Linked DNA regions of Arabidopsis thaliana. The protein of the gene in region 3 interacts with the protein of the main gene of each other region in a pairwise test. Each region holds a gene or a part of one and is shown on either strand. Other genes may lie near its edges.

Region 1 (4,368 bases), about 18 Mb from region 3:
GGTTAAAATCATATACTCCTCCTTGCCGAACTATTAGGGGTCGGATTGGGCCTACTTGGCCCAATGCCCAAACCCAAGTCAAAAGCCCAAAATAAGTTCCAAACCAAGGAGGAGTATTAAGGCGAAGGGTAGTTTCGTCAAATCCCTCGATGAATGCCCTACACGCGTAGTGCTATAAATACGGAATAGCATGTCATGTCGAAGGGGGGAATTCCGCCTGACACGCAGACACAGAGTAGCTCGCCTTTCTCAAGTAGCTCGTCAGCGAGCCCTTCTCAAGAAGCTCGTTAGCTCGCTCCTCTTCGACAAGCTTATCAACTCGTTCTCTTCACCAAGTCCCTCAGCTCGTCTTCAAGCTCTCCAACTCGTCTTTAAGCTCTTCAAACTCTTCAGATCGCCATTAAGCTCAACAAGCTGCTAAGCTCGTCTTCAAGCTCCTCAACTCGTCTTCAAGCTTCTCAGCTCGTCTTCATGCTCCACTCAACGACCATCTCCTCGTCTAGCTGTCATCTATACAGCTCGTCCAACTCCTCGTCTAGCTATCAGCTCATCCCTCGAAAACAAAACTCATCTACCTCCTCGCCTAGCGGCAGTTCGTCCATTGACTGCATAGTCCACCTATCTCGTCGTCCAGCTCGTCTAGACCTTCAGCAAACAACTCGGTTTATCCAACTCGTCTCTCTACCACGGTTCATCCAGCTTGTCGCACATCTGCCGGCTCGTCAACTACCTGCCGACCTACCTCCAATGACGGCCTAGCTCACTTATTCTAATATGAACTACGTGTGGCTTGACCCCTTTCTAATATGGACTACGTGTCGTCTCGCTTGACTATCACCGAGACAGCACATTGTCAGCTCGCCCGTCTCACGAAGATCGTCCGTCTCAAATAGCTCGTCAGCTCGTCCTTCTCAAGTAGCTCGTCAGCGAGCCCTTCTCAAGAAGCTCGTTAGCTCGCTCCTCTTCGTCAAGCTTATCAACTCGTTCTCTTCACCAAGTCCCCCAGCTCGTCTTCAAGCTCTCCAACTCGTCTTCAAGCTCTTCAGCTCGCCTTAAGCTCTTCAGCTCGCCTTTAAGCTCTTCAAACTCTTTAGCTCGCCCTTCTTACAAAAACAAAAAAGGATATCAATTATGTAGATCAAAACAAAAACAAAAAAGGACTTACAAGGACGTAGATATCAATTATGTAGATCAAAGAATAAGCAGTCCAAATTCCAGCGTTGATGAAACGAACTAACGATAGCCAAAACGGCATGTACTTGAAGGTCTTAGTCTCCGGCGGCATTTTGTCCTAATTGTTTCACGCATTAAAAACTTATCAAAACCAGTTTAATAGTTTACTTATCTATATATTCATCAATAAGTGAGAGCCAGAGAGAGAGAGAGAGCTTACTATGGTAAATAAAAGATAGATGATAACAATGTTGTAAACGTTGCAAACAACACCAATGAATGTATGCTTGCCGGCCGGATAAACTCCCAAATCCCCAGATAGTCATACAATAGACTGTTGCCACAAAACTAAACTCCAACGGAAGCAATAGATAAAAGAGTAATATCTGCACATCAACATCGACATCATCAAAATCAATATACAATATTTTTCTGGATTTGTTTTTTTTTTCTTTGGGATATTTCTATAGAATTTAGTCAAGATTGTGTTTGTTTGTTACCACCTTTTGTGCACCAGTCACCAATCCTTATTTTTATTATTAAATCTATTTTTGATACTATAATTCGTGATTTTCCTTTTAGTTTTATATATATATATACTTACAGAGATGCGAGCTTCATATTATTATTTTTATCTTTTTGAACACCAAAAAAATAGCCTCGTATTATTTTTAAATGATCAATTATGTGATCATATTTAAAAATACGATCCGGTTTTTAAGGGATTTGAACGGATCAAATGTGTTTCCGGTTCGGTTATATAAACCGGTATTTTACCATATCCAACCGAAATGAGTATCGACGGGAATTATCCGTAAACAGAGTGACAGTGAGGTGTGAAGGAAGAAGACGATGGCGTCAATGTCTCTCTCCTTTTCTTCTTCGCTATGTTCATCCAGAATCCCCGAAGGTAAGCGTAGGTTTCGTCACAGAGATGTGGGCATCGTTAGATGCGTTTTGGCTGCTTCGAAATCTTCTCCGGGAAGTGTTACGAAGAAGAGGCTTTGGAAAGACGGCGAATTCCCCGGAATCACGGAGCCGGTTAATCAGAGAAGAACTCCGATAAAGAATGTGAAGAAGAAACTTGACAGGAGAAGCAAAGCTAACGGATGGGTTAACACCGTCACTGAAACTTTGTCCGATCTCATCGCCAAAAAGCAGTGGTTACAAGCTCTCGAGGTATTTCGATTTTCTCTCTTCTCGTTCATGTTTGATTGAATTTGAACTCAATTTTGAATCACGAGTATAATTTAGCTGAAAGATGATTTTGATTGAATTGGGTATTTTGTTGATGATCTTAGGTTTTTGATATGTTGAGGGAACAAACATTTTATCAACCAAAGGAAGGAACTTACATGAAGCTGCTTGTTCTTCTCGGTAAATCTGGTCAACCCAATCGTGCACAGAAGCTGTTCGACGAAATGCTTGAAGAAGGACTTGAACCAACTGTTGAACTCTACACTGCTCTTCTCGCTGCTTACACTCGCAGCAATCTCATCGACGATGCTTTTTCAATTCTTGATAAAATGAAAAGCTTTCCTCAATGCCAACCTGATGTTTTCACGTACAGCACTCTGCTCAAGGCTTGTGTGGATGCTTCTCAGTTTGACTTGGTGGATTCGTTATACAAGGAAATGGACGAGCGTTTGATAACTCCAAACACTGTGACCCAGAACATAGTTTTAAGTGGGTACGGTAGGGTCGGAAGGTTTGATCAGATGGAGAAAGTTTTGTCTGATATGTTGGTGAGTACTGCTTGCAAACCCGATGTGTGGACTATGAATATCATCCTTAGTGTGTTTGGAAACATGGGTAAGATAGACATGATGGAGAGCTGGTACGAAAAGTTCAGGAACTTTGGGATTGAGCCAGAGACTCGGACTTTCAATATTTTGATTGGTTCTTATGGGAAGAAGAGAATGTATGATAAGATGTCGTCTGTCATGGAATACATGCGAAAGCTAGAGTTTCCGTGGACAACATCAACCTACAACAATATCATCGAGGCGTTTGCGGATGTTGGTGATGCAAAGAACATGGAGTTGACATTTGATCAGATGCGTAGCGAAGGTATGAAAGCAGACACAAAGACCTTTTGCTGTCTCATAAACGGATATGCCAATGCCGGTCTTTTCCACAAGGTGATAAGTAGTGTTCAGTTGGCTGCTAAGTTTGAGATACCCGAGAATACTGCCTTTTACAACGCGGTGATATCAGCGTGTGCTAAAGCAGATGATCTGATAGAGATGGAAAGAGTGTACATAAGAATGAAGGAGAGACAATGCGTATGCGATTCAAGAACGTTTGAGATCATGGTCGAGGCGTATGAAAAAGAAGGTATGAATGATAAGATCTATTACTTGGAACAAGAGAGGCAAAAGCTTATGGATCGCACTGTTGCTACAAAAGAGATGGAGAATCTTCCGGCAGGATGATTGCGGTTTGTGTGTGAATCTCTCTCTCTCTCTCTCTGCAAGGAGAGATCGATGTCTCACTTGAAAGAGTAGAATAAAAGAGTTTGTAATACACTTGATTGTTCTTGCAGCTATGCGTGTTATATATTTTGATGGGCCCAAAATTATGAATAGAGGCCCATAGATAAACTGTGACGTGCACAAGAAATCGGACAAGTCCAAAAAGTGGATAAGTGCGTGTCGTCTTTCTATAAATAATCTCTTTTCTCTCATCTTTTACCGTTTCTTCTCGAACAATCAAAAACGAACTAACCAAACATAAAATTGAACACATCCTCTTCCTCTGCTCTCTGCAAACAAAAAAACACCGATTCGGTCAGGAATCATTCGTCGTGAAATCTGTAATGGGGATTGTTGTCAAGTCTTTCAAGGATCAATTCTCCTCTGGTTTGTTCTTCGTTAATCTCTTTCTGATTCTTTGGAATTTTTTTTCCTTCGAAATGTGCTTCTGAAGCAAAGTTTTCATCTTTGTTTGAGGATATAGATGAGAGATTGAAGGAGTCGAACAACATCATTGCGAAATATCCAGATAGAATACCTGTAAGTTATTTCATAAATTTCATGTTTGATTTGTTTCTTGGTGTTTCCGTCTTAGTTGCCGTGCGATTGTGGATTTCCTTAGGGTTCGAATGATTTACTCAATTAAAAAAAAGTCTTCGTTTGACTTGCATCTCTCGAATTTGCTAGAATCTCTGTTTCAATCTTAGAATTTCTTCGCCAT
Region 2 (5,045 bases), on a different chromosome or scaffold from region 3:
AGCCATGAAGTCCAATGAGTTTCACCAGAAGACTCCTCGTAGAAATAATTGTTATTAGCTCCTCTGTTTTTCTTCCCTACTCTCTCCACATCTCTGTTCGCCATTACTCTGTTTCTCTCTCTCTCTCTCTCTGTCTATGTGGTTGTTATATAAAATCGAAACTTGGATTAAACGGATCAAATACGAAATTCAGGAGAAGTAGCTTACAAGAAATAAAGGATTAGAAGAAAGAAGAGATTGAGACAGAGTATCAGTAATCAGAGAGAGATTTAGGGTAAAAACTACAAAGTTGTAACCATTAAAATAAAATAAAAACGCTTTTTCACGAATTTAAACCGTTGAATTGATGTTGAAAAGTTAGTGCATCTAATTATTTATGGAATTCTATTAATTATGTTCTTAATCTTTATCGATGTGTGTAGAATAACAAAAAGTAAAGAAGAGTTTTTGGTGTTGTGTCAATGGCGAGTTAGGCGGTGGTGCCAGCTCCTCCTCTCCTAGGTTTTAGTACAAGTTTCTTTTCTGAGTGCAAAAAACAACTCAGACCTGCGACAAGATTACAAAATATATAACTTGAAAACAACAAAAAAACAAGGTATTTTGTTAAAGTAAAAAGAGAAGATAAAACATATACTCCTTTTATTTTTTCTTAATTGAATTTTTTACAAAAAGGGTTTTATTTTTTTATTTTTTTTTATACAAAAAAGTGTTTTTAAAAGATGGATTTCTAGATTTTTTTGCAATATTAATTAGATATTATTGATGAATATCAAATTTCAAGATAAATAATTAAATATTATTGATTTTTAATTATAAAAAAATATAAAACACAAAAAATAATATATTCATAATTAATTTTAATAATATTTTCTTAAGATATGTATTTTTTTAGAAAATTAATTATTAAAAAAGAGAGAAAATATAAGCTAGTACTATTTGTAGTACGTGTTATTTTGTTTTAATTATAGCATGGTATTTATAAGTTAAACTTTTTTTTCTCTAGCATGAAGACTTTTTTTTTCTGACGAAAAACTATATATAGCAAAAGGTTCTACGGTCTCGATATTTAACTATTTATAAGATTTAATAAGTTGCCAAGGGCTTCTTTAGAATAGTCGACTTTTACATTGTGGAACAAACTATTGAATCCAACAAAGACTAACTCTATAATCTCACTAACAATCGCTTGGATATTATTGTCGATCTCCAAGGAATTTATCATCAGGCCTTAAATGGACTTCGTTGCAGCATATTTCAATGGTGTATAAATTTTTGTAGCCTTGTAGGTATTGGTAGAGTTCGAGAACTTTGAGGATTGAAGGGAAGATATTATATGATCCACCCGAAATTTTTTCGTAAAAGGTTTAATATTCCTTGACGTTTGAAACCATATCAATGAAATTAATAAATAAAATATTAGAATAAACTTCAAAGATGGTTATAATTAACCATAATTTATCACTAAGGAGTATATGAAAGCCATGTGTCCAAACCAAACTCGTGTTTAATGTTCTAAACCAATTGTATGTACTTTCACATTCATTTATCAATAAGACTTTTGCAGAGGTATGAATACTTGTCCAAGTCCGTATAATGGGAGAAATGTTTGGGAGGTGATACAAATAGATGTGTATATTTTGCAAAATGAATGCATACTTTGGTTTTGTTGACATATGATTAGAAAAAATGATAATGACCAAACTTGTATTGTATCATTGTATCATATACAAGTGGAACCAAACAGATATAGATCTTTACAATCCAAGATATAAATTGGTAAGGTCCACGCGGTTTCACCTTAATTAGAAAGGGACATCTCAGCAATAAAAAAAAAAATGAAGGAAATATAGTTAGACAAATATGGAACCAAAATAGCAAAACTTGATAATCTTCTTTGTTTTTTTCATATTTATTTGCTAATGCTGGCCTTTCAATTTAGAACTAAACCAAAAAAAAATACATTATGTGATTATAAACCAAACCGGTGATAAAAATGATAAGATGAAATCTTGACCGGTCAAATGATCCAACGGTGGTGCGAAACTGGATGAATATCACTCTCACTCTCTCAGCCTATGTGAGTCTCTCTCTCTGTTTGGTTTGGTAGAACCAAAAGTTCAAACCTTTACTCTCTCTGTCTGCAAAAGGTTCATCATTTAGGGTTTATACAAGTTTACAGAGAGTTTACGATTCTGAATCAGTGATTTTGGAAGAAACCCCAATCAGCTGAAGATGAGGAGATTGTTTGCGATTTCATCGACGGGAAACAGATTTGTTCATCGGAGTCTTCTCGGAAAAGGTAAATGTGGAACTGCTCCTCCTTCCTTTAGCCATTGCAGTTTCTGGGTACGAGATTTCTCTGGTGTTAGATATGATTACAGAAAAATATCGATAAATAGGCTAAATGATTTGAAGCTAGATGATGCGGTTAATCTGTTCGGTGACATGGTCAAGTCTCGTCCTTTCCCTTCGATTGTTGAGTTCAGTAAACTGTTGAGTGCCATTGCTAAGATGAACAAGTTCGATCTTGTCATCTCTCTCGGCGAGCAGATGCAAAATTTGGGAATTTCACATAATCTTTACACATACAGTATTCTCATCAACTGTTTCTGCCGACGCTCTCAGCTCTCTCTTGCTTTAGCTGTTCTTGCCAAGATGATGAAACTCGGCTATGAGCCCGATATTGTCACGCTTAACTCTCTGCTCAATGGTTTCTGTCACGGGAATAGGATTTCAGATGCCGTATCTCTTGTTGGTCAGATGGTGGAAATGGGATATCAGCCCGATTCATTCACATTCAACACTCTAATTCATGGACTTTTTCGCCACAACAGAGCTTCAGAAGCAGTGGCTTTAGTTGACCGGATGGTTGTGAAAGGTTGTCAACCAGATCTGGTTACTTATGGTATTGTAGTAAATGGATTATGTAAGAGAGGTGATATTGATTTGGCTTTGAGTTTGTTAAAGAAGATGGAACAAGGGAAAATAGAGCCTGGTGTTGTGATCTACAACACTATCATTGATGCTCTTTGCAACTACAAAAACGTGAATGATGCACTCAATCTGTTCACTGAAATGGATAACAAAGGAATTAGACCAAATGTTGTTACCTACAACTCCCTCATAAGATGCCTTTGTAATTACGGAAGATGGAGTGATGCTTCTCGACTACTCAGTGATATGATTGAGAGGAAAATCAATCCAAATGTAGTCACTTTCAGCGCATTGATTGATGCATTTGTGAAGGAGGGGAAGCTTGTAGAGGCTGAGAAATTGTACGACGAGATGATCAAAAGGTCTATAGATCCTGATATTTTCACTTATAGTTCACTGATCAATGGGTTTTGTATGCACGATCGTTTAGACGAGGCCAAGCACATGTTTGAGTTGATGATTAGCAAGGACTGTTTCCCAAACGTAGTGACTTACAATACTCTTATAAAGGGATTTTGTAAGGCTAAGAGAGTAGACGAAGGTATGGAACTCTTCCGCGAGATGTCTCAAAGAGGATTGGTTGGCAACACAGTCACTTACACCACTCTTATCCATGGATTTTTTCAAGCTAGAGAGTGTGATAATGCCCAAATAGTTTTCAAACAGATGGTTTCTGATGGTGTGCTTCCCGATATTATGACATACAGCATTTTATTAGATGGGCTTTGTAATAATGGGAAGGTAGAGACAGCATTGGTGGTGTTTGAGTATCTGCAAAGGAGTAAAATGGAACCTGATATTTACACATATAATATTATGATTGAAGGGATGTGCAAGGCAGGGAAGGTGGAAGATGGGTGGGATCTATTTTGTAGCCTCAGCCTTAAAGGAGTGAAGCCTAATGTTGTAACCTACACAACAATGATGTCAGGATTTTGTAGGAAAGGTTTAAAGGAAGAAGCAGATGCCTTGTTTAGAGAAATGAAAGAAGAAGGGCCTCTTCCAGATAGTGGTACATATAATACGCTTATCAGGGCACATCTGAGAGATGGTGACAAAGCAGCATCAGCTGAACTCATCAGAGAAATGAGGAGTTGCAGGTTTGTTGGAGATGCTTCAACCATTGGCTTGGTCACTAATATGTTGCATGATGGGAGATTGGACAAAAGCTTTCTCAAGATGCTTTCTTAAAACAGTTTATCCTCGAGAGAAGAGGATCGTGAGGTGAATCAAGTCTTTATGTTGCCTTACTCTGTTTACTTCTCAAGCTACATGTGTGTATTTGGTTGCTGTCGTGTGTGTAAGCTTCATGAAGATGACTGATACTTTGCTTTGTGTAATTCATTGTTAGGTTAACACACACGAGATCAATTTGTGAGCATCAGAACAAGATCTCAGACGTGTCATTATTATGGTTTTACTGTAGTAGATTTGGTTTTTAACCAAACGTATTTTATAATTCTTGTTTTGAATGATTGCTAGCAGTTTCTAGTTCCTTTTGGTTCAAAAAAATAACTTGATTTGGATTCTTATTCCCAGTGACATTTGTAACGTGGATTTTATTTTGGTGGTAATATTTTAAACCGGTTTGACCAGCTCTTTTCTGTCTAAATTTGCTGGAGGAACACACTGTCAAACACAGATCTCATATGCGCAAATCCAGTTTCCTGAAGAAAAGCATTGGTATTAGACGAAAGTTAGGATGCTTTGAGCTGTCAAGAACAATCAAATCTACTAAAAATCGGTTATATATAGGAGTGAAGCATGTTTCAGAGGATATGTTCACAACAATTCCAAAAGCAGATGCCATCTTCATGAAAGTAAACTCATATATATTTCATTCATGGAAAAGTTTAATCAATAACAAATACTATCTTCATTTCATAAAAGCCTTGTTTCAGATTTTTTCACACACATTTAAAAGTGTTTTAAGTTTATCTTATACCTTTAAGTACATTTATGATTTTTTTTTTCTCCTATTAAATAAGCTGAAAGATTATAGATAAATGGTTTTGTTTTATTAAAAATGATGCATTGAAAATATAAAAGGACATTTTATATATAGATACTACATGATTAGGCCGATGGAACCAAAGATGAGCGACTCTTCT
Region 3 (4,334 bases):
GGGTCTCATTAAGGTATAAATTTGATTGCATTAACTTTCTTCGCTGTCCCTTTCATTATTAGAGGTACGATTGTCTAAACTTTACACATATTCTCAGGTCGACCGTATTCTTTACTCATCTGTCGTATACCCACACAACTATGGGTTCATTCCGCGTACCCTTTGTGAGGACAGTGACCCTATTGATGTTCTTGTCATTATGCAGGTAACATATTTTTTCATACAATTTTGAGAACCTGCATAATTCATTACATAATGTTTCTTGTTCTATTTTGATTTGTGCATCTGATAAGCTTTGAAGAAGTTCAAGCGCTCAACTCTTAGCTATAGACTCTACTTTATAACTGTGTAGCTTAGGAATGAATGTAGCAGATGAGAAATGTTGCCAGTCAGTTATCGAGCAGTTAGTGGCTGCTAGGCTTATAAAGGTGTCTCAGCATATTGTTTAGAGTGTGGATTTTCTAGTGTTTACTCTGGAATTTAAAACCTCTTATTAATCAATCAAGTCTATAAGCATCATCAGCATCTCAGTCTGTCTTATTTGACTGGTAGAAAACACATCTCATGTGAATCTTGTTGAATATTTTCTACAGGAACCGGTGATCCCAGGATGCTTTCTTCGGGCCAAAGCTATTGGTCTGATGCCAATGATTGATCAGGTTAGATATTCAACGTACTTGTCATATTAGTACTTATAAAAGTAACAGAGATTGAAACTAGAAGCTCTTTCTGCTTGAATAGGGTGAGAAAGACGACAAGATCATTGCTGTCTGCGCTGACGATCCAGAGTATCGCCATTACAACGACATCAGTGAGCTTCCGCCTCATCGTATGGCTGAGATCCGCCGTTTCTTTGAAGACTGTGAGTGTTCTTTTCTTACAAACTTTTGGTTGGTTAAGGATGATATGAGGCTCATACTCTTGTAATCTTGTTGCAGATAAGAAAAACGAGAACAAGGAAGTAGCCGTTAACGACTTCCTTCCGGCAACTGCAGCCTACGACGCAGTTCAGCATTCCATGTAAGTAGCCTTCATGAAACTTACTGTTATTTACTTCATATATTATGACCTTGTAAATAGCCGCAATTTGTTTATATCAAAGAATAACTAACTAATCAAATTGGGACAACTCTTTTGTGTCATGTAGGGATCTCTATGCAGACTACGTCGTGGAGAACCTAAGACGTTGAATCACCACCTCAAGCAATGGAATGAAAGCTCACAACTGCATTATTCACAAATATAAATATACATATAAATGTCAGGCTTCTCAAAGGATATATTTGTTGTGTATGTCCTCTGATGAATCCGGTAGATGATGCCGATAATTCTTTTTTTTTTTTGTCGTATGAAACCGATAATCAAAGACTAAAACAGGGATTTTTCTCATTTGTGGTCATCACTTTTTAAATTTTGGTGTCATTTCTCATCTTAATCAATTTGTTTTTGAGTTTTATTCTTCTATTAGATCTTTTATACATCAAAGAATAGATGAAGATTCCTCCCTAAAACCTTATAGTATGTCATTTATTCACAATATGTTATACGTGTTAATTTTCTCTCTTTTAGTATACTCTTTTTTTTTCTTTCAGATTCCATCCCAAGTTGCTTAAATTTTGTTAAAACCAACTAAATTCCATAGTTCAATTTACAAATCTGTGATCAGATGCTATCTAAATGAATATTACCATTTTAGCCCTTACCTTTTCTGAAATTTACCACGTTTACCTCAATGAACCGTCATCGCAAAACCAAAAACCCTTTCCTATCCCTAAAACCCGAGAGAGCATCTTCTTCTCCTCTTAGGGTAGAAGAAGGACGAAAATCGGAGGAGGAAGAAGAAGATCGATTCGATTTGTGATCAACGATGAGCTCCTTCAATGGAAACAGCAACATCGACAACCTCCTAATCCAAACCCTACTTGGACGTCTCCAAATTCGTCCCCCTAACTCTCATTTCCTCTCTCAATCCCTAGACGACCTCCTCTTCAAATCCGACGACAGCGACGGCGATGATGACGGAGAAGGTCAGACCAGTCTCGACAGAGAAGAAGCTAGGCTTGAGAAAGAGCTAATCCGAGTCATCGTCTCTGGTCGAAGCGATTCTCTCAAGCCGAATTCAGGTCAAGCCGTGACAGTCAACGAACACCACATCTGCGTTGGGTTTCATGAGGATGAGGAATCGGATTATCGTGTTTGGGAGTGGCATGGTCATATCATGTTGTTTGATGAAGAGAATGGGTACACGCCTGAGTATATCTACGGGAATTACTTCGAGAGGTTGCCTGTGAAGCTTCCTAATAACCGCCGTGTGGAGAAGGAGAAGAAGAAGGAGATGAAAGAAGAGGAGGTGGAGAATTTGGGGCTTAGAGAGTTGATCGATGGTGGTGACGCTGCTCCTGGTAGGATTCTTCATAGGAACAACATCAACATCGGTTCCTCAAGGTTTGTTTCTTACAACTCCTTTTAAACTTTCTATCATTCTGTGTTGCTTTCGGGATGATTTAGTTGTTCATTGATCTAGGGTTGGCTAATCAAAGTTTTAGGTCATGTATTAGAGTATGTATTCAGTGAGAAATATAACAATGGCTCATATGTTTTGGATGATTTTTGCTGTTAGCGAATTCTGTTTTGAAATTTGATTCGCTCATGGTGAAGCCTTTAGTTTGCTTTTACAGTTTCTTTTTCGTTGCAAGACAATAAGTTGATGAAAAGAGTTTGGAAAATGATAGTTTTTGATCATTGCCAGTAGTGAATTCAGCACTTGCTGTTTCCTGAATGAAGTTACAGGTTAGGCCAATGTGTGGTTGTGGATTGTGGTCATTGCATTTCTGTCTCGAAATAACACATGGTCGTTAAATACGATCGATTAATTCTCCTCAATTCATATTAGATAGTTGTTTCCCATATATGTATGATAAAACTGCATGTTCTTACAATGCTTTTTGTTAACTTTTTTACCTTGCTCTAGGCCTTCAATGCTGTTTTGGACACTCGATTTAGTTCACAATGTGACTAGTGAGACTTCGTCGATCTCCAAATCAATTGCTTTCATATACAGTTCACTATATTAGTCAGGGATTTTCATGCCAAGAATATTCATTTTTACGGTGTCCACAAATATTGATATAGAATGTTGTTTAAATGTTCATATGATGACCACATCTAGATCTTCCGATATCCATTTACATTACTTAATGAGAGTTCTAAGACGATGAATTTTAAGCTTGTGGTGTGATAATCTACTCAATAGTATTAGTAATGCTTGATCTTACTCTTGCCTTTTCATATTCTGTTCGGATATCCATCCTCTTCCAAGTATCTATTAGATTATTCTCTTGTTTCACTTTAGATTCCAACTTTAACTTGATTATCTTGCGGTTACATACTCAAAATGTTTAGAATCGATCACTGAACTTACGTGGTTCATCGTGAACTGGCAGGGTCTAAGTTCCTAAGAGCGTCTTGGTAGGGAGAGGTCACATTGTTCGGGAAGATTTCAGATGTGTGAACAACTCGCGACAACAAAACATAAGGTGCTGGTGGGTCTACGGGTTCTATTCCGTTTTATTTAAACCGGGAAATCCATGGGTGAATCTGTTTTCTTTAAGAAATTCATCTGAAGTTGTTTCTGAACCAAATTTACAATACATGTTAATGAAGAGAGAAAAGATTACAATGCATGGTCATCGAACTCGGAAGCTTTCAAGTTTCCCCATGTTTGTTTATTTTGTGTTCTTAAATCAGAATCATATGTTTTGCTCATTTTACAATTCTGCTTTCGATAACGAAATTTAATTGAATCGTTTTCAAATCTCGAGTACTTCCAATGAAGATTTCACCTTTTTTTTTTATTGGTGAATAGTATGTATTATATCGGATTTAAAATCACGTTGTGTAATATAATGAGGAAAGTCGTACAAACTACCAAACTAAATGTACGGTAAGAACTGGGAAGCACATGTGTTGCACACGTACCCAATACCCATGGTAGAATGTTGTTATTCATTATTGTTTTAAAATAATATTTAAGATAATAATTTTTTGGAATTTTTAGTTATATTAAGACTTTGTAAAAATTAAATCTTTAATTATTACAAATAAATTGATTTGATATTTGTAACGTAGATATTATTAATCTTATTAAGTTTGATTTTACATATTTAAACGTAAAAATGAAGAAAAAGGTATTTTTCCAAATTTACTCTATTTATAATCTATGTATTAAATTTATATGCTTAATTATAACTTTTTAATAATATAATGCTTAATGTTATAAATATATGTGTGTGAACACTTCTAATACGTACCACTTTCTAAAATTCTTTAAAAAT

What was found.
Region 1: the proteins of AT3G53630 (region 3) and PPR2 interact in a two-hybrid assay, tested with the Arabidopsis thaliana proteins (one large-scale study listed by BioGRID).
Region 2: the proteins of AT3G53630 (region 3) and AT1G63130 interact in a two-hybrid assay, tested with the Arabidopsis thaliana proteins (one large-scale study listed by BioGRID).

Annotation. Positions count from the first base shown.
Region 1 is NC_003074.8:1,955,898-1,960,265, reverse strand, and holds PPR2 (Tetratricopeptide repeat (TPR)-like superfamily protein), read left to right. Parts: upstream 1-1,961; 5' UTR 1,962-2,025; coding exon 2,026-2,352; intron 2,353-2,474; coding exon 2,475-3,608; 3' UTR 3,609-3,857; downstream 3,858-4,368. Other genes in the region: ATG8H (Ubiquitin-like superfamily protein), read left to right, coding at 3,992-4,034, 4,132-4,187.
Region 2 is NC_003070.9:23,410,622-23,415,666, forward strand, and holds AT1G63130 (Tetratricopeptide repeat (TPR)-like superfamily protein), read left to right. Parts: upstream 1-1,896; 5' UTR 1,897-2,232; coding exon 2,233-4,125; 3' UTR 4,126-4,534; downstream 4,535-5,045. Other genes in the region: RBL2 (RHOMBOID-like 2), read right to left, coding at 1-104.
Region 3 is NC_003074.8:19,882,119-19,886,452, forward strand, and holds AT3G53630 (uncharacterized protein), read left to right. Parts: upstream 1-1,742; 5' UTR 1,743-1,867; coding exon 1,868-2,445; intron 2,446-2,971; coding exon 2,972-3,074; 3' UTR 3,075-3,443; coding exon of another isoform or gene 3,444-3,450; 3' UTR 3,451-3,820; downstream 3,821-4,334. Other genes in the region: PPa4 (pyrophosphorylase 4), read left to right, coding at 1-13, 98-205, 594-659, 742-862, 939-1,020, 1,148-1,190.